3 linked regions of the Ovis aries genome follow. The main gene of each other region encodes a partner of the protein of the gene in region 2 in a complex. Links are inferred from orthologs where the notes say so. Each region holds a gene or a part of one and is shown on either strand. Other genes may lie near its edges. The genes, in order: NFKBIA, SFN and MAPT.

Region 1 (7,605 bases), on a different chromosome or scaffold from region 2:
TTCTTTGAGATTGGAGGTGGATGTCCCTCCCCTCACCCCTCTGACCGCTTATGTGTGTCAGTGGAGGGCTGAACCTGACATTCATGTGTTAGATCATGTAACACCTGTGTTCAGGTGCTCCAAGAAGGACAAGGAGTTTCAGCGAGGGCCCTGTAGCACCTGAGAGAAGCTGAGACAGGTAGAGGGGCCACCACAGTGCTCAGCTCTAGACGAGTGAGGCTGCAGGAGGGGTATAGAGCCGGCTTTGACCACATGGTCCAGTCTACAGCAATACTCTTTACATATGAAAGATTCAGGAGGTATTGGCCCCTTTTTGGTCTAAGAAGATAATTATCATATTCACTTGACTGTGACATCATTTATGGGTCCAGAAGAGGACAACATAAGGGAAGAATAATGTCCTCTTAGGCATAAGCCAAAGTACATGAGTTGTATTGATACACCATTCTGCATTTTCTGCAATGCTATAAATTTTCCTTTACTCCTCTTTCTGTCTAGGCAAGAGATGCATTTTAGGGATAAAAACTTTGATAGCATCTAAACCTAAACTTCACAAGTTACTGATTTCTTGTGGAATCTTCTTCTGTAGAATCATTGAGGAGAATCAGATTGAACTGATGAAAAGACCCAGACTTCCTCAGTTTTATCCTGCAGCTAACAGTACAATAGGCTGATTTGCAGGTGGATGGTGCTTAAAAGCTGTTAATCACTGAAGACAAGAGTGCATTAACTAAGTTAACCACCTGTGTCCTGAAAGGTGACCCCAAACAGGACATTCTCTGTGGACTTATTCCTTCCCGTGTGAAATACAGGATGTTGTGCAACGGCTTGCGTTTTTTCTTCAGCACAAGGTGCCTGGCACTGTTATGATTTTTGCGCGGATAGCCTTGTGCAATCTTCAGATGGTCCAGTTTGTAAGCAAGGAAACAGAGGTGGGCACCTGCTAACATACGTTAGCACTGTCCTATTCCTAAGCCCCCATCCTCAGAAACTTCTCATACAGGAGACCTTTCGCAGCTCTAGAAAATGTAAACTCCACATACTACTCTTGGCTAAAATAATTTCCTAAAGCTGAAGTAAGGTCTCGGAATAGCTTAAACCAAGAAGATAAAAGCAGGCGGCAATGAAGAGCCTTCCAGCTGTGGGCCAAACAGCCTGCCCGGCCCAAGCCTGAGACTGTTTCCTATCACCTTACAACAGCCTCCCTCCCACGCACTGGGCCGGGGCTGCCTGCGAAGCCCAGCTGGGAGGCTGGTGTCAACAGTGTGAGAAGCTGCTCTGTGAGAGGGTTCCGTGGCTGTGGTGAGTTCTCCCACATGCTCTCCACCTCCGCCTCCGCCTGGGGACTGAATGACTCTCAGTGTAGGAGACCCACAGCAGCCCAATGAAAATGATCAGGATAACTCTGTTCATAAAAATCTGTTTAATAAATATACATCTTAAAAGTACCAAAATAATTACCGACAAAATACACTATGTGCACTATTTACAGGAGGGGAACACACACCTTGACAGGTAGTGACTTTTAACTCCACCCCCCCGACCGGTTTAACAACACACCTGATGGTTACATGTCACTCAACTGGCGCAGCCACAGAACCCATGGTGATTCAACCAATAAGCATAATAAATAAGAGTCCTTTCATCAAATTTTGAATAACCTTCCCCCTGAAACCCCACCAAAGGTGACATTTAAAAGAGGTTTTCTCTGAATTCCAGTGATTTTTCTTGCCCCCTCTTCCAGAGTTTACGAAAATGACAAACTGAGGGTTAATCCAGAGTAAAATGTTCCAGACCAGGCAGTGTGGCTGTAAGTACATCCCTCCCTTTTTTTTTTTCTTTTCTTTTTTTTTTAGAAAAATAAAACTCTCTTTTTGTACAAATATACAAGTCCATGTTCTTTTAGCTTCTTTCTGAAGCTCATAACGTCAGACGCTGGCCTCCAAGCACACAGTCATCGTAGGGAAGCTAAAAAGAGAAAAAAAGGCATGTTAAACTCGCAGGGCTTTTCCGAGGGTGCTAGGATGATGGGGTGGGCTGTTACTGGAAATAACTCAAGTATTCCTGGACCCCATTCTCTATACACTGAATGTAAATGAATTTCCTGGGCTGAGGGAGTTTTCCTTTAAGGATCCTCCTTCAACAAGAGCCAAAAAAAAAAAAAAAAAAAAGACATGCTCTTGGGATTCTGCTTACACATACTCAAGCTTGAGAGGCTCATTACATTGAGACCCTCAGGATAAGGAGGAACTCTAGGAGCCTTAGAAGGGGGAGGGAGAATGGCCTCTCTCCTTTCTTTTTGCAAAGCCATGAACAAGTTAATTGGGACTCACCTCATCTTCTGTGAACTCTGATTCGGTGTCATAGCTTTCCTCATCCTCGCTCTCTGGCAGTGTCTGAAGGTTCTCTAGGGTCAGCTGGCCCAGCTGCTGCTGTATCCGGGTGCTGGGGCGGCCCCACGTGAGCTGGTACGGGGAGTAGCCCTGGTAGGTGACTCTGTTGACATCAGCCCCACACTTCAACAGGAGTGACACCAGGTCGGGATTCTGCAGGTCCACTGCCAGATGGAGGGCAGTTCGGCCATTGCAGGGCTCCTGGAACCATAAGGAATTCAAGATGCTTATGGCTGAGTTTGGAAGTTCTGCTTGCAGCAAAAGCCCTCGTATTGAGGACCAGGGTGGCCTGATGTACCCCATTTGAAGGTGTGAGGCACTGACCTGAGCGTTGACATCAGCGCCCAAGGACACCAACAGCTCCACGATGCCCAGGTAGCCATGAATAGAGGCCAAGTGCAGACACGTGTGGCCTAGAAGACCAAAAGTAAGACAGTATTATAACTACTTGTTTCAACACTCATTTCTCAAGCAGAAGCTTTCACCTATTCTTTTTTTTTCTTCATTTATTATTTTCAATTGAAGGATAATTACAATATTGTATTGGTTTCTGCCATACATCAACATGGATCAGCCATAGGTATACATATATCCCTATTCTTTTGAAGGATACATTCTTAATTTGAAGAGCTCAGAATCTGGGTTCTGAATGGACTTTAGAAAGGCATCAACTAGGCCTTTATACATGTTTTCTCCATCTTTCATATGTTGAGAGCTTAGGCCTTGCTTGGCCTCCTTAAGTCAGCCTGCCTCCCCCGTGTCCACCTCACCTGCCCTCTGATGGGCAGGACAGCCAGACATACCATTGTAGTTGGTGGCCTGCAGAATGGAGTGGAGCTGCTGGGTTCCCCGGGGCTGAGTCAGGACTCCCACACTGGCCAGGCAGCCCTGCTCACAGGCAAGGTGTAGGGGGGTATTTCCTCGAAAGTCTCGGAGCTCAGGATCACAGCCAGCTTCCAGAAGTGCCTCAGCAATTTCTGGCTGGTTAGTGATCACAGCCAAGTGGAGTGGCGTCTACAAACAGAAGAGGGACAGAAAGGATAAGCCATGGATCCAACCCACCATCTGTGTTCCCTTGAACCCCAGAGATATCTTGGTTGTGGGTGCTGCTTTTCCCAGGCGCATACCAGGGGCAAAGCAAAATACCAGAGGCCCCAGATGGGCTTCATAAAGGCCTTCCCAAATCAATGGAATTTTGTGTTCTAGAATACTGGCTGACACAGGTGTAAAAAATCAGGGCAGATAATGCCCAAACCTTTGTTAATCTAGAAATCATGTGCAAGACCCGGTTTTATCTCGGGGTCAGAGCGGGAGAGAGAGGTACGCGGCGGGAGAGCAGTACCTGCTGCAGGTTGTTCTGGAAGTTGAGGAAGGCCAGGTCTCCCTTCACTTGGCGGACCACTTCCATGGTGAGGGCCTTCTCTTCATGGATGATGGCCAAGTGCAGGAACCTGAGGGGAAGAGAGGGAAAACCCCCAGGGCTGGTGAGTGCACTGCGTGGGGCCCGGGGAGGCGCGGCCCGCGGGGGATTGCGCAAGGCCGGGGTTTCTGGAGGCCGAGGCCGCGGTGTTTTCCGCGAGGTTATTATGAGCTGAGTGTTCCTGGCAGGCGCCCAGGGACTTTCCGGCCCCCCGCCCCCCCCGCGCTCGGCGGCGGGCGCCGGCCAGACCGCCCCGCCCTCTCGCCCGGCCGGAACGCCCTGTACTTCCCCTCCCGGCCGCGCGGCGCCCGCCAGCGGGGCAGAAACTCCCGCCCCCCCCTTATGCAAGCGGGGACTTCGCGTCCCCGCCGCCGCCCCGCCTCCGGCCGAGGGGACCCGCACGGGGGTGTGCGTGCGGGGGGTGCGCGCGGCTGCAACGCAGGGCCGCGGGACCACGGCCCCGGAAACCAGCGCCGACCCCCGACCCGCCCCCCCCGCCCCGGCCCCCGGCCCCGCAGGCAGCCGTGCACCTTTGCACAGCCTCGGGGTCGGTGCACGAACCCCGGTGCGCGGCCGCTGCGCGGGCCCCGCGCCTGGGGCTGCAGGCCCAGCGCCTCCACCCGGCCCTGCCACCCGGGCCCGCGACACTTACGAGTCTCCGTCCTCGGTGAGCTGCTGTTTCCAGGGCTCGGCGCCGCGCGGCGCCTCCTGCGGCTCGAGGCGGATCTCTCGCAGCTCCTTCACCATCTGCTCATACTCCTCGTCCTTCATGGAGTCCAGGCCGCTGTCGTGGCGGTCGTCCAGCAGCCTCTCCTTCTTGAGCGCGTCCCGGGGGCCCTCCATGGCCCAATCTTGGCCGGGCTCGGCAGGCTGGAACATGGCGCGGTGAAGGCTCGGGCGCTGCTCCCCAGTGCACGGGCCGCGGGCTGCGCTGCGCTCTGGCTGCTCTCGGAGTCGCGGGCGAGCGGGACGACGGGCTAGGACTGTTGTGGGCTCGGCAGCGCCGCCGCGGCGCCCTATAAGCGCTGGCAGGGGATTTCTCCGGGGCGGGGTCAGGCGCGGGGAATTTCCAAGCCAGTCAGACCAGAAAAGAGAACTGGCCTCGTCCTCTGCTAGGGGGAAAAAGAAGCCTAAACCCCGCGCCCGAGTTCATCAGAGAAACTCCCTGTGATGAGCCACTGGGGTCATGTACAGGGAACTTTTTGATGAACGCTGAGTGGCTGGAAAGTCCTCCTGACCGGGCCCCCTCCCCGGGTACTTCCCTGCAACCTGCACGCAGTAATCCTGGCCCTCTGCAAGAAGCTCTCTTTCCCTGGGTTTTCCCGATTTGATCGATTTGATTTAGGGTCGTCAGCTGCTGAGATCCCAAAGACGCAGGCCTGCAGGCTGGTTCTTCACTGGGGTTTACCGACCTGCAGGTCTTTTCCGGTTTTTTTTTAAATCTTTTGAAAACGCGAGTGGAAATGTTGGCCGGGTGTAGGGATTCACTTCCCCAAAGCTCTCTGCGGGGAGGACGCACTGGTCGGTGGAAGGTGGCTGCCTCTGCCTTCCTGCCAGTACCAGGCTCTTAGCATTGTAGGCACCGGCTGAATAGCCAGCCCCAGCCCACTCTCCACTCCCACCCCCACCGCCCGACCCCCGGGTAGAAGTTTCTAAAGCTTTTGGCATTAAAAGCCTAAATGATTGCTGCTACTGCTGCTGCTAAGTCGCTTCAGTTGTGTCCGACTCAGTGTGACCCCGAGACAACAGCACACCAGGCTGCCCCATCCCTGGGATTCTCCAGGCAAGAACACTGGAGTGGGTTGCCACTGGGGAACCGTCAAATCATTTCCTTGGGATTATCAATCCTGTTGACTGGAGGAGAGGCAAGCACTCTGCCCTGTATGCAGGAAAACGGTGAAAACAACCATGGTATTTTTCAAGGAAAGCAAGGTATGAGTCTTTGTAGCAGAGGCTGTAAATCCCTTGAAGTAAGGAAATAATTATGGAGGTCGGGTTCCCTGCTCTGCACTGTGCTGCTGCAGGGAACAGACCCTGAGCATACTTCTGGGTCCTCTGCTGGGTGACTTTGCAGAAGCATTTGGGGAAGGTGGCTGAAGAATGGGTAGAGTAGTGCCTTATCCAAGATGAGGCCTTATGGATGGCTAAGAAATTAGCTGCCAGGCATAGTGCAGGAGGCTCAAGGCAGCCCATGGTGCCCTTCATCCTGCCTCTGCTGGCTCCTTGCTCTCCTGCCTGGGAGAGACATGCATGGGACCCATGCTTGCCATATGGGTAGCCACTCCAGGCTCACCACCCTCCTCTCACCTGCAGAAATAGAACCTAGGCTCTCTGCGCCCCCCCCACCTCCTAGTCAATGAGAGGTATGCATTCATCTATTTCTAGAATTGGTCCAAGCAAAATAAAGAAACTTGGGTCAGAGTTCTTCAGAATAGGTCCCAGGAAGCCTCTGTAGTTTTGCAGAGATTTCTGGTGATTATTGCAATCATCTTCAGCTTAACTGACCATGTACTAACCAAGCCTTCTCCGTTGCTCATCTCCCCTTTCCATTCCCCTACCCCCAGTATCTGAATGTAGGGAATCTGGGTCAATGGGAGTGAGAGACAAAATATGAGGGGGAGAAAAAAGTAAAATCAAAAAGTAAAACTGTCGGGGTAGTAATGGTCATATATTAAAATGAAAACTTCTCAGGGATAGAGTCCTCTGCAGGCCTGTGATACACAAATACATAAGTATTAGGAGAGGTGCAATGGAGGCTCTAGGAGACCTCAGTTCCCAGCTTTACCTCTAGTTACCTGCATGTTAGTTGGAGAGATTAGCTGACTTTGCTATGGGATACCTGCTTTTATAATAAGATTGGGTTTAATGCTGTTTAGATTTTTCTCCAGATTAAAAACTACATTACTTGATCACGAATGCTCGTGTATCTTTGCTTAAGGGTGACCACGGCTCTTAGAAATATCATGGTATAAATTTTTGAAGGGCTCCAGCACTTTCTGCTATACATTGTTAGTTCTCAGAACTAATCTTGTAAGTAAGGAACTATTGTTCCCACTTTCCTAAAAAGAAACAGATGCAGATAAATTTACCTCGACATTCCATGGCAGTTTATCAAATTTCTATCCCAACCTGTTTAGCCAAAACCAGTCATGATATTAACACTTTTGAAAACACCTTGTGAAAATGAGACTGAATACACTATAATCTGAAAGATATGCAAAGTATTTTCTACTCCAATTGTTAGGTAAAATAGAGAGTAGATGTTCTCCCGTCTGGGGATTTTCATATATAAAAAATACATTTAAAAGGTACAGAAATAGCAAACTCTGACTGCCCCGCTTACAAAGGTACCTTAGAAGACAATTGTCAGCTACAGGTTTGAAAATAACCATTGAAAAAAACTATGCATAAGTCCAGAGTCTTTCAGGAATATGTTTCTTTGCACCTCCTGTGATGGTTTTCTGCAGCTGCTGCTGCTGTAGCCTTGGGCAACTGGGGGGGTCTTTATTTCTGATTGTTTAGTGTGACACCTAGTGGTAAGATTCAGGCCTAGGTAGTCAGTGATTTGTCATGGCACCTTGGAACTTTTGAAAAGACCATGATGCTGGGAAAGATTGAAGGCAGGAGAAGGGGATGGCAGAGGATGAGATGATTGGATGGCATCACAGACCCAATGGACAAGAGTTTGAGTAAACTCTGGGAGTTGGTGATGGACAGGGAGGCCTGGAGTGCTGCAGTCCATGGGGTTGCAAAGAGTCGGACATGACTGAGCAACTGAACTGAACTTGGAAC
Region 2 (7,274 bases):
CTAGTCTTTTTTTGACCTGAAGATGGCTTTGAAATTTGGAAAAGTTTAGAAGAAAGTGATCAAGTGGAGAGGACGATGAGAAAAGAAGAGTGGCCACCATGAAATTTCCATCGGAACTTTGCATTCTTACCGACTTTGCCCTCTGGGGCTGATTTTTTTTTAATTGAGCATAATTCACAGATCATAAAATTCACTATAAAGTTCACAGTTCAGTGGTTTTTTTTCCCCATATATTCACAAAATTGTGTGACCATCATGCTGCATGCTCAGTCGCTCAGTCTTTTCTGACTCCTTGCTACCCCATGGACTGCAGCCAGCCAGACTCCTCTGTCCATAGAATTTCCCAGGCAAGAACAGTGGAATGTGTTGCCATTTCCTACTCCATCACCACTATTTAAATCCAAGAAGATTTTATCACCCTAAGAGAAATTTCATACCCAAGAGCAGCAGGACTGAAAAAAATAAATTTTAAAAAAATTTTATTGGAGTACAGTTGATATACAGTGTTGGGTTATATAGAACTGAAAAAATTTTAATGTCAAATTTAGGCCAGGAAAAGAGGATCAGAATGCCCACTGAGGCCCCACCCTGGGTAACCTTAAGAAAGCTTTAGATAGAAAGGTCTGGGACCCAATTCAGAAGCTGGTGCCTAAGGCAGCTCACAGCTAGCCTGTCTGGTGATATTCCAAACCATAGCATCTGCTTTTAAAATCTGTCAACACCAACAGGCTACCTTAGAGTAGCTCGTTTCTTTCCCCATAGAGGCCAACCATGGGTGGCATAAAGGGAGTAGGCAAAAGTCAAATGCAGAGAGAAAAGAGAAGAATTTGCTTTCCCAGGACCTACCTCATTAAGAGAAAGTCACCAGACCTGTCTGGTAAGAGAAACCAGGTCACTTCCAAAGCTGAGGGGAAGTCACCTGCTCTTTCCCAGAGTCTTTGACCGGTTTGAAACCTTAACACCTAATACCCTTCTGAAAAGAGAAGACAAGGGACCCAGAGAGCATCTGAGTGGTCCTGCCAGCGTCCCGTGAAGAATTAGAAATTCTGATAAGAGCCTTTTAGTCCATGAGTGTGACCAAACTTGGACTCCACCTGATGAGGCTAGATGCAGTTCCCCCAGTATTATCAGGTGAAGGACTGCCCACTTGTGTCAGGCCAGTATTCTCGGGTGACCCAGTGATCAAGAGGGTTGGATTTGGCAGTAAAGCTGTTCCTCAGGACTGGGCCTGATTATTCTGCTTTTGGCACAGAAATGCTAGATAAATCCTGGACTACCGATGCTGGAAGGATTAATAATAGGTAACATGTATAAATATGTATTATGGGCTACTTTACATACATTTATTTTTCTCAAACTTCACAGCAACTTTTAAGAGGAAGGTACTATTTTTTAATCCTCACTTCACAAATAAGGACAAAAGGTAAGCATGGTTAAGAACCCTGGACAAAGCAGGCTTGGAGTCAAACTAAAAAGCCGTTAGTTCAAGCCCCCTATGATACAGAAGGTAGAAACTGAGGCCCAGGGTGGGGGTTAATGACTTTTCCAAAGTTGGTGGCTCAGTCGGTAAAGAATCCGCTTGCAAATGCGGGAGACCTGGGTTACCTCCCGGGTTTGGGAAAATCCTCTGGAGGAGGGCATGGCCAGAGAGGAGCCTGGCAGGCTGCAGTCCATGGGGTCGCAAAAAGTCGGGCACCACTGAGCGACTAAGCACATAGCACAGGGTTGCAAAGCCAGTGAGGGTCACATCCAAGCCTCCTGGCCACCAGGTCAGGGCTGCTTGGGCTCTAGAGTGCGATGGAGACACCTTGGTGGCCTTTTCCCTGCCCATACTGCCAGCCAGGCCAGGCCCAGGCACCGCCGGTAGAGCGGATGACTCAGAGGGCGGGGACTGCTTTTACCGCACTACCCCGCCCCGTCCCGCTGCTCTCAGGATGTAGAGCTCTCGGGTCTGGCGGGTGGCAACTCGTCCGAGTGAAACCAGGAAAGCTCCGCCCCTGGCACTCGGCGGGTGGCGGGGGCCTCTTCTCCCGGCTGCGTGTCCCGGCGCCTGCAGGGCCCGGCGGGCGATGGGGAGACGCTCCCAGCTCGGTCCGCCGCTCCTTCTCCTATTGGTCAGTCTGGCCCCGGGGGCGGTACCATGAGCAGCTCCTTCCCGTGATTGGATGATATCAGCCTCGGGCCCGCCTCTGGCCTCAGGCTGTGAAGGTAGGGCTTCACTAGGCGGCCGAAGGCGGAGGAGCGTCGCTGCTGGGAGCAGAGATGCGGGGGCGGTGGGTTTGGCCCGCCGCGGCCGAACCCGCTCTTGGCGGCTCTTCGCACTCAAGTTGCACTTCTTCGTCAACGGCCTGTTTTATTTTGTCCCCATCTCCGAACATTGGAAGGCGGTCTTCTCCTCAGACCTGAGCTTTTAATGGCGGCGTCATACCCGCCCCCTGGTGATACTTCCCTCCGCTCAGATCTGATGGGACTGTTCCCCGCTTTCAGGTCTGAGGTGCTCAGTGCCGCTCACTGCGGCGTACCCCTCCGACCTCACCCCGGAGACTGTCCCCTCACACCTGAGCGCTTCAGCCTCCCACCCCACGTTCCTGGCAGAGGAGTCTCCAAGCCGCCTTGGCGCTGCTCACCCGACCCTCCCGGGATAGGACCAGTTTGAGGGGACTAGACCAGACCCTGATGGAGAGGGCTGGATCCCCAGCCTCTCTCCTGGCTCCAGAGTCTTGCCTGCGAGTCACTGAGCCAGCCCCAAGGAGGTCAGGGTCTCTGTAACTCACACACCAATCCCTGTCCCGCCCTTCCGCAATAACTGAAAAAGACAGGCGGAGTGTCACAGGGCAACTTTATTGAGAGGAAACATGGTCACACCCAGCAGACATGCTCTCCCTCTCATCCTGGGTCCTGGTTGCTGCACAACACACACACACACACACAGGCGCACACACACACCTTCATCACCAACCTCTGCCACACAGTTCGGTTTTCAGCTCTAAGGATGGGACACTCCTCAATTCCTAAGATCCATAGGTAGCAGGGGCGGGAGGGGGTTGGAGTGGGGAGGAAGTGGTCAGGGTGGGGGGGGGGGTGTCTGGGACGGGGGGCGGGGGTGGAGACAGAGCAGGGCTGGATGATGACCAGTGGCCAGGAGCCCCTGACAGCTGCAGGAAGTATGGAATCCTCTGGCTCCAGGGGGACTCGGCTCTGCTTGTTCCTCTCTATGGAGCCTTTCTGAGCTGGGCCAGAGCGTTTGGGGAGAAGGGTCGGACCTCCCACCCCATACAAGTCCTCTCTGCCGGGAGTGGGGGACTGGAGCGGGCAGGGTAGGGCAGGGCGTGCAGCGGGTGCGGCTCAGCTCTGGGGCTCCTCGGGAGCCTCGCCCCCTTCTTCCCCAGCGTTGTCGGCCGTCCACAGCGTCAGGTTGTCTCGCAACAGCTGCATGATGAGGGTGCTGTCTTTGTAGGAGTCCTCGCTGAGGGTGTGCAGGTCGGCCATGGCCTCGTCGAAGGTGGTCTTGGCCAGAGAGATGGCCTCCTCGGGGCTGTTGGCGATCTCATAGTGGAAGACGGAAAAGTTCAGGGCCAGGCCCAGGCGGATGGGGTTGGTGGGCGGCATCTCCTTCTTGCTGATGTCCATGGCCTCCTGGTAGGCCGACCGGGCTGAGTCGATGATGCGCTTCTTGTCGTCGCCAGTGGCCACTTCGGCCAGGTAGCGGTAGTAGTCGCCCTTCATTTTCAGGTAGAAGACCCGACTTTCGGCGTCACCGGCCTCCTTGATGAGGTGGGTGTCCAGCAAGCCCAGCACTGTGTCGCACACGCCCCGGAGCTCCGTCTCCACCTTCTCTCGGTACTCTTGCACCTCCGGGCCCTTCTCTTCCGAGCTTTCTTCATTGCTCTTTTGCTCGATACTGGACAGGACCCTCCACGCCGCCCGCTGGCCACCCACCACGTTCTTGTAGGCCACTGAAAGCAGGTTGCGCTCTTCGCAGGATAGCTCCTCGCCCTTTTCCACAGCGCTCTTCATGAAAGCTGCCATGTCTTCATAGCGTTCGGCCTGCTCGGCTAACTTGGCCTTCTGGATCAGACTGGCTCTCTCCATGGCTCTGGGGACAGGCAGACAGGCGGGCGGCGGGCTAACTGGCTGCCTCGGAACCAAGGCCGGGTTCTGTGCCTCTCCTGCTCTCTGCCCGCCTTTTGGCTGGAAGGCCAGGCCCAGAGAAGGGTGGGAGGGGCAGAGGGCGGGGCTAGGGCCCCGGACCTGCCTCCCTCTCCTCTTCGCCCCCACACCCTTTCCGCTCTTCCTTAAAGGTAAAAGGGCTTGGATGGCGGGTAGGGAGGCGGGGGCCGGGGGTGAGTCATCCGGACTGTCAGCGGGAGAGATTTGGGCGTTGGCCTCACCTGCACCGACACCTTTCCAGGCCCCAGGCTGCCCGCTCTGGTTCAGGGCTTCTATTACATGCCTACCGTAGGTAGCTGTCCCAGTTGCTGAAATCAGATCCTCCTTCACCGTGTTCTTACACGGGTTGAGGATGGCTTCAGCTACCTGGCCGCTATGGGCCTAGGCAGAGCCCATAAAGCCAGGTGCAGGAGGATGCGGTTCCCAGTCCTGCCAGGTGTGTTTCCCATATTGGTTCAGGAGGGATAACTCTTTGTTTAGGTAGGGCGGTAGCTAGCTTCCCAAGCGCCTTCATACCCATGATCTAACTTAATCTAACCTGCTCTGTCTGTGTGAAATGGGCAAGTCTGTGACACTACTCCCACTGTAGAGGCGGGACCGCTTTAAGGCTCAGAGAAAGATGAGAGTTGCTCACAGTCACACAGCTACTAAATTTGGCTTTGCTCCCATCAAGTCTTTTGACTTGTGAGCTCCAGACTATTTAAAAGTGACATGCAGGCTTCTTCCAGAGTCTACCTGAAATGGTTCTACCCACCACCCCTCACTCCTCCTCAGGATCCTGTCCCCTCTGAGCTCCCAGAATGCAAAAGTGGCAGCTTTCAGAGTGCCACTTAATGAGGTGTTTAACGAGCGGCCTCTGACGCTCTGGCCTAGCCTTTGTAATTAGTCACCCAGTAGGTTTTTTGGATACCTTCCCCATCACAGCACAATTTTCCCTTTCAAGTTGGTGGCCTGTTGCCACTTGTCTGAGGACTTGCCCTCTGGCTGTCCACACCAGGTCACCTGCCCCCCCTGTCTGCCATCATGTGTCAGTGGGGCGCACAGAGGGTGGGGACCCAGCTCACTGGCTGTTCCACTTTCCTGCCTAACTCAGCCCCGCCCTCTGTCAGAGGCAGGGATGCCCGCCACCTGGGTACCCTGCCCAGCTGGGTACCAGGAGGGGGGGAAACGCTAGCAACTGGGGAGAAAAGACAGGACCAAGGCGATGGAGGCGGCTGTGATGCATGTCGTTTCGTTTTATGGGGCAGCAGTCCCAGCTGAGCGCTGCCTTCCTCTTCCCCCCAGCTGAATGAGCCTGCCTCTCAGAAGTTTCCCTGCCCTTCCCTCTGACCACGGCCCCACTTCTGATTCCTGGCAGAAGCTTCAGAGATGGAGACTTCTCTGTTGCCAATCTTTTGTCCCTGTTCACTGAGACCCTGTCTCTATGTCAGTTGAAATTTTCACCCAAAGGTGTTGGCATTGCACCTAGGAGGGTGGGTTCCTGCTTGTCTACTCTACCTCTAGCCAAAGCTCAGATGGGGCTCGGGGTGGGGCTCCTCTCTCTGGGATCCAGCCAGTTTAATGCTTGAACCAGAACTATTTCACAAGCCTGTCCCTCCTCAGTTCCTCTTGGTGTCTGAACACCCACCCTCTCCTCCTGGAGGGAGGCTTAGGCCAGAACTCTGAGGCCCAGAGATGAGATCTGCCTCTTTGAAGGGAAAGTAGGGACATGTCTGAGCTGATGCCATGTTTCCCAAGGAAGCAAGCAGAAGGGATTTTAGGCTTGCCATCCTGAAGGCTCTGCCTAAATCACATCACTGACAGAAAACAATGAAAAAGAAACATACTGGAATACCAATTTACAGTGTATGTTTAGGTAGTAGGATTCTAAGTGGGTTTTTTGTTTTCCTTTGACTTTCCTAGTATCTTCAGGTTATCAGTGGTGAATGTGTATTATTTTTCTATGACAGAACAGCCTACAGTCTTGGAATCAGACTGCCTGGTTTCAGTTCTTACAAGCTACTGTGGCTTTGGGTAAGTGACTTGGCCTCTATGAGCCTCAGTTTTCCTGAATAAAAATGGGGCTTGTTGTGAGAATTAAATGAGTTGATGGAAAGCACTTAGCAGAATGGATGGTAACTATTAACATCATGTGAAAAGAAAACCGAGCCTTATTATAATAAATATACACACTTGAAGCACTAATATGGAGCTGATTTCTATGAGATAAGGAAGGGCCGGCCCCAAACCAAGTCTCAACCAAAGGCTAGACCCTGCCCAACCAGAGAGACGATGGATGAATGGTCAGAGGCACTCACTCAGCACTACCTCCGCCCTCTCCAGCTCACACATTCCTCTGGCCTCCACAGGCCTTGGGCCCTCGAGGACCTTCCTTGGTACTAGTCATCCAGCCTGGGCTTTCCCAGGTCCTGGGGGAAAGCTGGAGATTCCAAAACATTAGAAACCTGGAGGGCAGGGCCTGGTAGACCCAGGGATTTTGCAGCTGTTTCTGTCTCAAGGCAGGAAGACTTACTTCTCTTCCTACCACTCTCACCAGAGACCTGGTGGCGGCTTACACCACAAGCTCCAGGTCCTCAGCACAGCACTGGGCATGGGAAAGGGAGCCTTGTCCCTCCTTCCCCTCCCCTGCTGAAGCTCAGGGGTGAATTTGGGAGCCAGGCTACCTAACACCTCCTGCCCGCTCTGGCCTGTCAGTCCTGACTCAGTTCCTGTCTCAGGCACCTCCCTTTGCCTCCAGGCCTCCCTTTCCCAAGTCCAGGAGCCCAGGCAGGCAGGAGGCAGCAGGCCCTGACAGGGCATGGGGTTCTACTGTCAGCCGCCTGAGTCAGCAGGGCAGGAGTGGGGTCTGCAGCGCAAAGGGGCTTTCCTCATCCTGCCTGCTACCTCCCCACTCTCCCATAGAGCATCCTTCCTACCCGCAGGATCAAAGCCTCTTGTCCCACAGACAACCACTCCTTCCTAACTGGTAATAACAGGCTTTGAAGGGTTGTGGCATAGAGAAGGCACCAACCAGTTGCTATCTACCTCCATTGAGAACAAGGACAGGGCTCTGATTGCAGCAGGAGGGACGCTGGTTAGACTTCAGAGTGAACTTCCTCGGAAAT
Region 3 (7,505 bases), on a different chromosome or scaffold from region 2:
GTTTCTCAAGAAAACATCTCCAGTGTGTCATGGGTCAGAAGTGCCCTTGGTTCTGCTCCATTTCAGGTGGGGGGCTCATGTTGGCCCCCTAAACCGCTCTCCCTCTTCCACTACACTGATAGAATCGTCCTTGCCAGCATCAGGACTGCACCTGATTAGGTAGGTCTTGAAGATTCTGTCTGATACCACTTAGAACACACACACACACACACACACACACACACACACTTTCTGATTAAAGTCTCAAAACTAAACTGTCTGGTATTTCTCCGCCCCCCAATATTTTTAAAACTAAGTTTTCTTGGAGTGTAGCTGCTTCGCAGTGTTGCTGGTTTCTACTGTAGAGTGCAGTGAATCAGATGTATGTCTACATATATCCCCTCTTTTTTGGATTTCCTTCCCATTTAGGTCGCCACAGAGCACTGAGTAGAGATCCCTGAGCCACACAGTGAAACTGTTAATTGATCGGTCCTGTCCGACCCTTTGCGACCCCATGGACTGTAGACTTCCGGGCTCCTCTGTCCATGGAATTCTCCAGGCAAGAATACTGGAGTGGGTTGCCATTTCCTTCTCTAGGGGATCTTCCTGACCCAGGGATCAAAACTGGATCTCCTGCATCGCAGCCAAATTCTTTACCATCCGAGCCACCAGGGAAGCTATACAGTAGGGTTCTCATTAGTTATTTTATACATAGTATGAATACTGTATATATGTCTATCCCAATCTCCCAGAGTCTGGTAAATCTTAATCAGGCCAGTGGTTACTCTTGAGTACGATCTACCTAATGAAGTAGCCTGGGCGGTGCAGGTGGCCAATGGGAGGGTGTCTGTGAGCTGGACGACCTCACAGAGATGAGAGTGTGAAGGAGGGTGGACGGCACCTGTGGTTTGTCTGGACCACCTCTGGGGACCTTGGACTGGGATGCATGGCCCTGGTGGAGGAGGCTGGTCTGGGAGCGGGAAGGGCCACGTCTTCAGGAATAAAACCAAGAGGCCAAGTCCAGAGGTGTTCCAAAGGGGGAGTCAGAGCTACAGAGGAGAGTCCTGACTAGAAACTTCTTTGTTACTGAGATTCACCACTAAGGTGGCTGAGGCTCTCTCTGCAGCCAGCCTTGGGAAGGAGTGCAAGAGGGACGGAGCAGGGGTGTGAGCGGAGAGATGCGGGCTGAGGCCCTGGGGCTGCTAGCAAAAAAAAGCAGAGGGTGGGTACCAGCAAGCCAAGCCCTCCTTCCCCAGCTTCACAAGGTCCCCCTCCGCCGGCACTGCTCCCTACCTGGCCAAGTGGCCTAGGTTCGTGACAGATCTGACTTGCTGCGAGGCTGTGAGCAACTCCAGGGCAGGGACAGCTTAAGAATGGATGAATGAACAGAGGACAGGATTCCCCTGAATGGGCATCCCGATTGGCAAGCAGTTATTGCAACTCCCTCCCACCCCAAGTCCCTGCAGTAAGTACCCTCAGCTGCCCCACTGGGGTCCTGTGATGGCGAACCCTGACTTCCTCCAGGGCAAACACTTTGGGCAGCCACCCTCAACACACAAGACCAAACCCTAGGGCTTGATTCTGCATCTGGGAACTCCATCAGTCCTCCAGGACTGATGAACACCCAGGCGTTTCAGGCAGCATAGATAGGGAGCCTCTTGGATGCCTATAAGAAAAACAAGTCTTCATCTGGGGCCCCAGCGAGGTTTTCCTGGAAAGCCACCACTGTGCAGCTAGGAGAGCGTTCTTCAAGCCACCTCGTCATGGAGCAGAGTGCACTAGGGCTGGCGGGGAGTGCGAGGAGGACCATGCGGTCCTGGGTGCAGTTTGGGTGGTGAGCAGGCTGCTCGGTCTTCTGGTCCTTGGTGGGGGAAGATCTTAAGACTGGCTGGCAGGATTTCAGGACAGCCTCTAGGGCACCACAGCCCACGTGTCCATTCAGCATGTAGGGTGTGTATCAGGCTTCCCTCCTCTGGCCTGCCTCAGCCCTACCCCGAGCTTGGCAGATTTGCTCAGAACTCCCAAATGTGATTTTTCTCTTCCTCTCCCCTCACCCTCCTTTACCTCCACTGATACTACTCCTCAGAATGTCTCTTCTCACCCCTATTCACCAACCCCACCCTTCATCTCTCCTTCTCGGCCTGCCTCACAGGTCCTCTCCTCTAGGGTTTTTCCAGAACCCTCCACTTTAGGTTGGATATCTCATTTTTGCTCAACACTCCCTCAGCCCCCTAAATAAATGGTATTTTCTAGATAGATCTTAAATATACTCTCTGTGTGTATACAGATATATCTTTGCTGCGCCTAGACCTATAGCAGGAAGCAGAAAATTCAAAATTCACTGCAGAAAATTCAAGCATACTTTCATTTATCGTGAACGTCTTAATTCAAACAATGCTGGTACAACTCTAATTAGGAGCATTCATTCATTCATTCATTAACCTGCTCACTGCCCTTCCCTGGCAGAAGTATCCAAGGATAAATGCTGGCATTTTAAATGTTTGTATGGAAACACAAAGCACTGTGAATGACAGGTGTACCTCGGGAACCAACGATTCCCACGTGTCATATACAGAGATCAATTCAGATACAAAGAATGGCTTCTTGATGAACTTGATGGCGCCAGAGATGCCATGGTTTTCTCAGCTTACCTTGGCTTTTTTGTCATCGGGTCCAGTCCCATCTTTGCCTTTACTGACCATGCGAGCTGATAAAATACAAAATGAGAATGCATGTTACACCCATTAGCACAGTGCATGAGAGCCCAAGGAAGGGAAAGTGGTTTCTCAGAAACTGTGCAATATGTCTTGTTCAGTTGGGCCAGTGGAAACCCGGCTGATTTCTTTCCCCGTGAATCTGTTAGGTGTCTCATTGTTAGTATCAACACAGCACACTGGGGTCGTTGCTTGCAACACCCTGACAAGAGGGGGCAGCAGGCTGGCCGGGGACATGCATAGGCGACACAGAGGGAACTGTTATGGGTACACGTTGGTACAGGGGCGGTCAGGGAAGGTAGACGGTGCAGGACCACCTCTCACAGGCTCTGCTGGGGTCAGCCTCCCCTGACCGGCCAACCCTGCTCCAAGGAGGGGCATTTGGAAGCCCCAGAGCTATGTACAGGGCAGGTCAGCCAGGCTCTGGCCCCTGCAGGACCCCTTGTTCATATTGTCACCCAAGGGCCAGGGGGAGTGGGCCGCTTTCCCAGAACCTGCCCTGTACTCATGGGGGCTTGGGTGACCAGTCCTAGTTGGCTCTCTGACAAGTCCAACCCACCCCTGAAGGGCCGTCTCACCACTTACATACTCTCCCAAGGGGGACTAATGCTTGCCCTTTCCCCAAATTTGCAACAAACTAGCTGCCATCAAATATCCTATAGATCGGCAGTCCCCAGACTCTTTATTTCATTGAAGATGATTTTTCCATGGACTGGGGGTGGGGAGGGGATGGTTTCAGGATGATTCAAGTACATTACATTTATTGTACACTTTAAATCTAATGCTACCACTGATCTGGCAGGAGGTATTGATCTGTAGCCTAGAGGTTGGAGACCCCTGCCATAGATAATCTCTGGATTTTAGGACCAAACCACTGACAGATTTTGTGTTTGGAAAGCCACACCCCTTGGTGAAACCAATCCGCTTGTCTTCCAGCGTAACTTCGAACTCACTCTTTCCTGCTATTGGCATGCATTATTGGAAACTGATCACAGGTTCTCATCCGTGGCTTCAATATCGTATTTCCTCTGCCCCGACGACAGTGGAAGCATCTCACTGGTTCCTGGAGACCAGATTTCTAGAGTGACCAGCACTGATGATCTAGCCCAGAGATTTTCAAACTTTGTTATGCAGCAGAACCAGTGGGAGACATTCTTGAAATACAGAATCCCGGGTTCACTCTGAGACAGTAGCCTAAGGTGGGGCCCAGGAACTTGCATTTTAGTAAGAGCCCCGGTGGACCTGATTCACATCCTTTGCCCCGATGGCCATCATCATCTATGTCACAGCAAAAGCATCTGCTAGATCTGCATTTCCCAGATTGGGGAAGTGGCTACTATGTATCCTTCTCAGAGGGTCAGAATGTACATTACAATATTAAAGGCTCTGACAAGTTCCCCACAGCAAACTCCATTTAATGTTTCACCTTCCCCTCCCTACCCAGACTAGACGATGGAACTCTTTTTTTTCCCCTGGACACATCTATCAACATGCAGTGGATCAGCATTCAATGTAAAACAACTTTTCAGGAAACACTGTTGTCATCTATCAAGTCACAGTTACGTGTCCCATATTAGTTTGGAGTTTAGGATATTTTAAAGTAGGGTTCTTTTTCGGTCTTAAATTTAAAAACACAGGTTCCTTCATCTATAACATTTCAAAGTTTTCGTGACAACATTTAACAGATGTCTGCAATTAACAGTTTAAGTAGCATCAATTTCTGGGCCCCGCGAATAATTCTAATATGCTACAGGATCTAAACATATGAATACGGCTGATATGTGGCCATGAGGCCTCCTCCGTCCTCCCCCCGACAGGACACAGAGACCCTCACCCTTGGGAACCTCCCCTCCCATCTCTTCAGCTCCTGAAAGGCTGCTGTGGTCACGCTTCCCAGGGCTCGAGACGGGGATGGGGCTGAGATCCCTCCCTGTGATCCCATCAGTGGGACTGCCCCAGCTCTGCCAAGGGAAGAAGAGGGGGTTCCTTCCATGAGGAGATTTTGTTTCTGCTCACTGTCTCTTCTGCCACAAGGCAGACAAAATAGGGTGGAGTGCTTGTTGGGCCAAAGGCTCAGCATGGGCTCTGGGTCACCTCCAAAGGGTGTGTGTGTGTGTGTGTGTGTGTGTGTGTGTGTGTGGCCTGCTGCATGTGAGGTGCTATCCATGGACACAGTTGCAGAGGACAGACGTATGTCCTCTGAGTCTCTGGGCTAGGAGGGCACACCTCAGGACCTCCTGGAAGGCGCTTGCGGGGTAGACGGAAGTGCCTTTCAAAGCAGACCTACTTGGGTCTGGCCCCATCACCTACTACTCAATGACTTTCAGCAAGATACTTCACCGCTCGCAGCCTCAGTTTTCTCCTCTGCACATCGGGCTAATTATGCCCACTTGTTGGGAGGGTCGGGAGGGTCAGGAGGGTCCTAGACAACCAATTTGAGACACATAACGAGCCCTCCGAAGTGGGAGCAGCCGCTATGCTCTTTGTGGAGTGCAGCCCACCAGCCTCCACTGGGCTGAAGAGCCTTGCAGAGAAATCAAGGGGCCAGAGGAGTGAATGGGGCAGAAAGCAGTGGGTGGGGGTCTTGGTGACATGCACTACGGCGGGCAAGCGTGAGAGGAGCACGAGCTACCAGTGCCCGAGGGACAGGAGGTGGCCGGGAGGGTGAGCAAAGGCCCCAGGGGCTGGTTGGTGGCTGTCCGCGGGGGCCTCAGAAGCGGCAGGAGCCAAGGAGGAGCCGGAAGCTGAGTGGCAGCGCCTGCAGCCTGGGTGGCACACGAGGTCGCCAGGCGGGAGCGAAGGAGCTCAAGACACAGACCTTTGAGTTGAGGCACCCGGCTGACGGGCTTCCCTGGCAGACCAGCTGCAGGCTGCTTTCCAGAAGGTTCTGGAAGATCAGTCTTTTTTGCGTCCTCGCCCTCAGAGGGGCTCCAGGGCTCTTGCTCCTCTCCAGGGGCCCCGGGAAGTGCAGTCCCTTCCAAATCGACCTCCGAGGGGGGTCTCTGCTCCTTCTGCAGGTTGGCTGTGATTTCCACGTGGAATGTGAACTCGGGGGCCCCGTCGCGCCCTTCTCCTGGGGGCCCCTCGCAGGGCCCGTCGGGCTCTGGGACCCGGGTCTCCGCAGACGCTTTAGAGAGGAAATCGACAGGAAGCGGGATGGCACCCCCGGCTGGGGACCCTGGGGTTCCAGGAGCTTCTCCAGAAACTGCCTGCGGGGAGATCTGGGAGGGCGGGGAGTCCTGGGGCGAGGACTCATCAATGTCCCGGTCTTCATCCACCTCCTTACCTCCCTGCCTCTCTTTGCTCTGTGCCCCCTTCAGAGGCAGCCCCTCCTGGGGCAGGCCTCCCCAAAGCTGGCACTCTGGCGGCTCGGAGCCATGGCGGTTGCCCTCTGCAACCTTAGGTTCTGTTCCTGAAGACTGGCATGTGGCCTCTCTGGAGCCCGCGAGCAGAATGGGGGCCCCAAGCATGTCATATGCGTGCTGGCGGGTCAGCCCTGAGGTCCCCGGCTCCACAGCCTCACCTCCATGGTGGCCCAGCTCCCCTAGGAAGCTCTCCTGGACAACCTTGGAACTCCCAGGCTCTGTCTGCTGATGTCCAGGGGAGGGGGGCTTCGGAAAGGCCAGGCCCTCCTCAGCCCGCTGCCCTGGTTTTAGTTCCCACTCCCAGTGGGGTTCCTGAGGGCCTCCTGGTGGAGGAGGCGCTTGGCAGATGGGGTGATGCTGGGAAGGGCGAGAGGTCTCCAGGACGGGAGCTTCGGGCTCTTTCTCCCCAAGAGGCAGTTCGGAGACCCCAGAAGCTTCTTGGCCATGTGCAAGCTGGACCTGAGAGCTAAGCCCATGGGCCAGAGGCCTCTCAGATGCTTCCCTCTGCTGACCCGGAACTCTCCTCTCCTCTGGGCTTGAAGAGGCAGCAGCAGTAAAAGGTTAGCAAGAGCAAGTTAAGTGTTTTAAGAGAGGGACATACATTTGAAAGAAAAAAAAGATGTTTAAACAGCATCTCAAGCCCACCTAACGAAGGAAAAGGAGCCCACCCTCTGAGCTCACCCGTGTTACTTTTCTTTGCTCAGAATGAAACGGCTCTTGGTCAATCTGCCAACAATTAGCTGGGTCACCGTGGGTGAGCACCTCCTGTCTTTGAGCCTCAGTTTTCTTATCTGTAAAGGGGGAGCTTAGACCAAGACCCCGTCTAATGCTGGTGGTAGTCCTCTGCCTATGTTGGGTCTGGCTGGGCTCCAACCATCCTGCCATATCCAGGGCTGCCTTAGGCTAACTCCACCAGCAGCAGAAACTTGTCCTCCTCTCCAGGGACTGTGAGCCTCCTGAAGACTCTGGCCTCTAGCTGGGACCTGGATGGGGTGCAGGGAGGGTCTCCTTTCCTCTCCTCTCTCTGGCCCCCCTTTTGCCCAATAAACCCACCCTGATAGATTTGGAAAACCCCAAATGCATCATAATTGGGGCTCAGTCTTTACTAACTGACCTGCCAAGAGACCTCTACGAACAGAAACACGGTTCAGGTTTGTCCAGATTGTGGATTATGAACAGCCTTCTGCACGAGGTGAGGCGACCACCGTGGCAGTTAAGGTGGTCTGCACGGCACAGACGTGGCCAGCCCTGCGGGACCACTGCTTCTCCCCTGTCACACCACCTCCCGTGTGCCAGCCCAGTGGGTGAAGGCACACTTCCCCTTTTTCTGCTTCATTCATGCCGCATTCATGTGAAGTGTTAGTCACTCAATCGTGTCTGACTTTTTGTGACCCCATGGACTGTAGCCCGCCAGTCTCCTCTGTCCATGGAATTCTCCAGACAAGAA

What was found.
Region 1: the proteins of SFN (region 2) and NFKBIA are in contact, whole or in part, in a crystal structure (PDB 6Y1J), measured with the Homo sapiens proteins. The link is inferred for Ovis aries from reciprocal best matches to the Homo sapiens genes SFN and NFKBIA. Residues at the interface, in NP_006133.1 of Homo sapiens: Glu14, Cys38, Asn42, Val46, Lys49, Asn50, Gly53, Gly54, Arg56, Lys122, Arg129, Tyr130, Pro167, Gly171, Leu172, Leu174, Asn175, Val178, Leu218, Leu222, Asn226; in NP_065390.1 of Homo sapiens: Gly62, Ser63, Glu64, Pro65, Trp66, Lys67, Gln68.
Region 3: the proteins of SFN (region 2) and MAPT are in contact, whole or in part, in a crystal structure (PDB 4FL5), measured with the Homo sapiens proteins. The link is inferred for Ovis aries from reciprocal best matches to the Homo sapiens genes SFN and MAPT. Residues at the interface, in NP_006133.1 of Homo sapiens: Asn42, Ser45, Val46, Lys49, Arg56, Arg60, Phe119, Lys122, Arg129, Tyr130, Glu133, Gly171, Leu174, Asn175, Val178, Tyr181, Glu182, Ile183, Ile219, Leu222, Asn226, Leu229, Trp230; in NP_058519.3 of Homo sapiens: Arg528, Thr529, Pro530, Ser531, Leu532, Pro533, Thr534, Pro535.

Annotation. Positions count from the first base shown.
Region 1 is NC_056071.1:43,392,568-43,400,172, forward strand, and holds NFKBIA (NF-kappa-B inhibitor alpha), read right to left. Parts: upstream 4,781-7,605; 5' UTR 4,693-4,780; coding exon 4,466-4,692; intron 3,845-4,465; coding exon 3,736-3,844; intron 3,408-3,735; coding exon 3,197-3,407; intron 2,807-3,196; coding exon 2,718-2,806; intron 2,595-2,717; coding exon 2,334-2,594; intron 1,969-2,333; coding exon 1,921-1,968; 3' UTR 1,828-1,920; downstream 1-1,827. UniProt on the Homo sapiens protein: Inhibits the activity of dimeric NF-kappa-B/REL complexes by trapping REL (RELA/p65 and NFKB1/p50) dimers in the cytoplasm by masking their nuclear localization signals.
Region 2 is NC_056055.1:240,065,000-240,072,273, forward strand, and holds SFN (14-3-3 protein sigma), read right to left. Parts: upstream 4,151-7,274; 5' UTR 4,093-4,150; coding exon 3,346-4,092; 3' UTR 2,826-3,345; downstream 1-2,825. UniProt on the Homo sapiens protein: Adapter protein implicated in the regulation of a large spectrum of both general and specialized signaling pathways. Binds to a large number of partners, usually by recognition of a phosphoserine or phosphothreonine motif.
Region 3 is NC_056064.1:45,708,657-45,716,161, reverse strand, and holds part of MAPT (microtubule-associated protein tau), read right to left. Parts: intron 6,589-7,505; coding exon 5,512-6,588; intron 2,687-5,511; coding exon 2,631-2,686; intron 1-2,630. UniProt on the Homo sapiens protein: Promotes microtubule assembly and stability, and might be involved in the establishment and maintenance of neuronal polarity.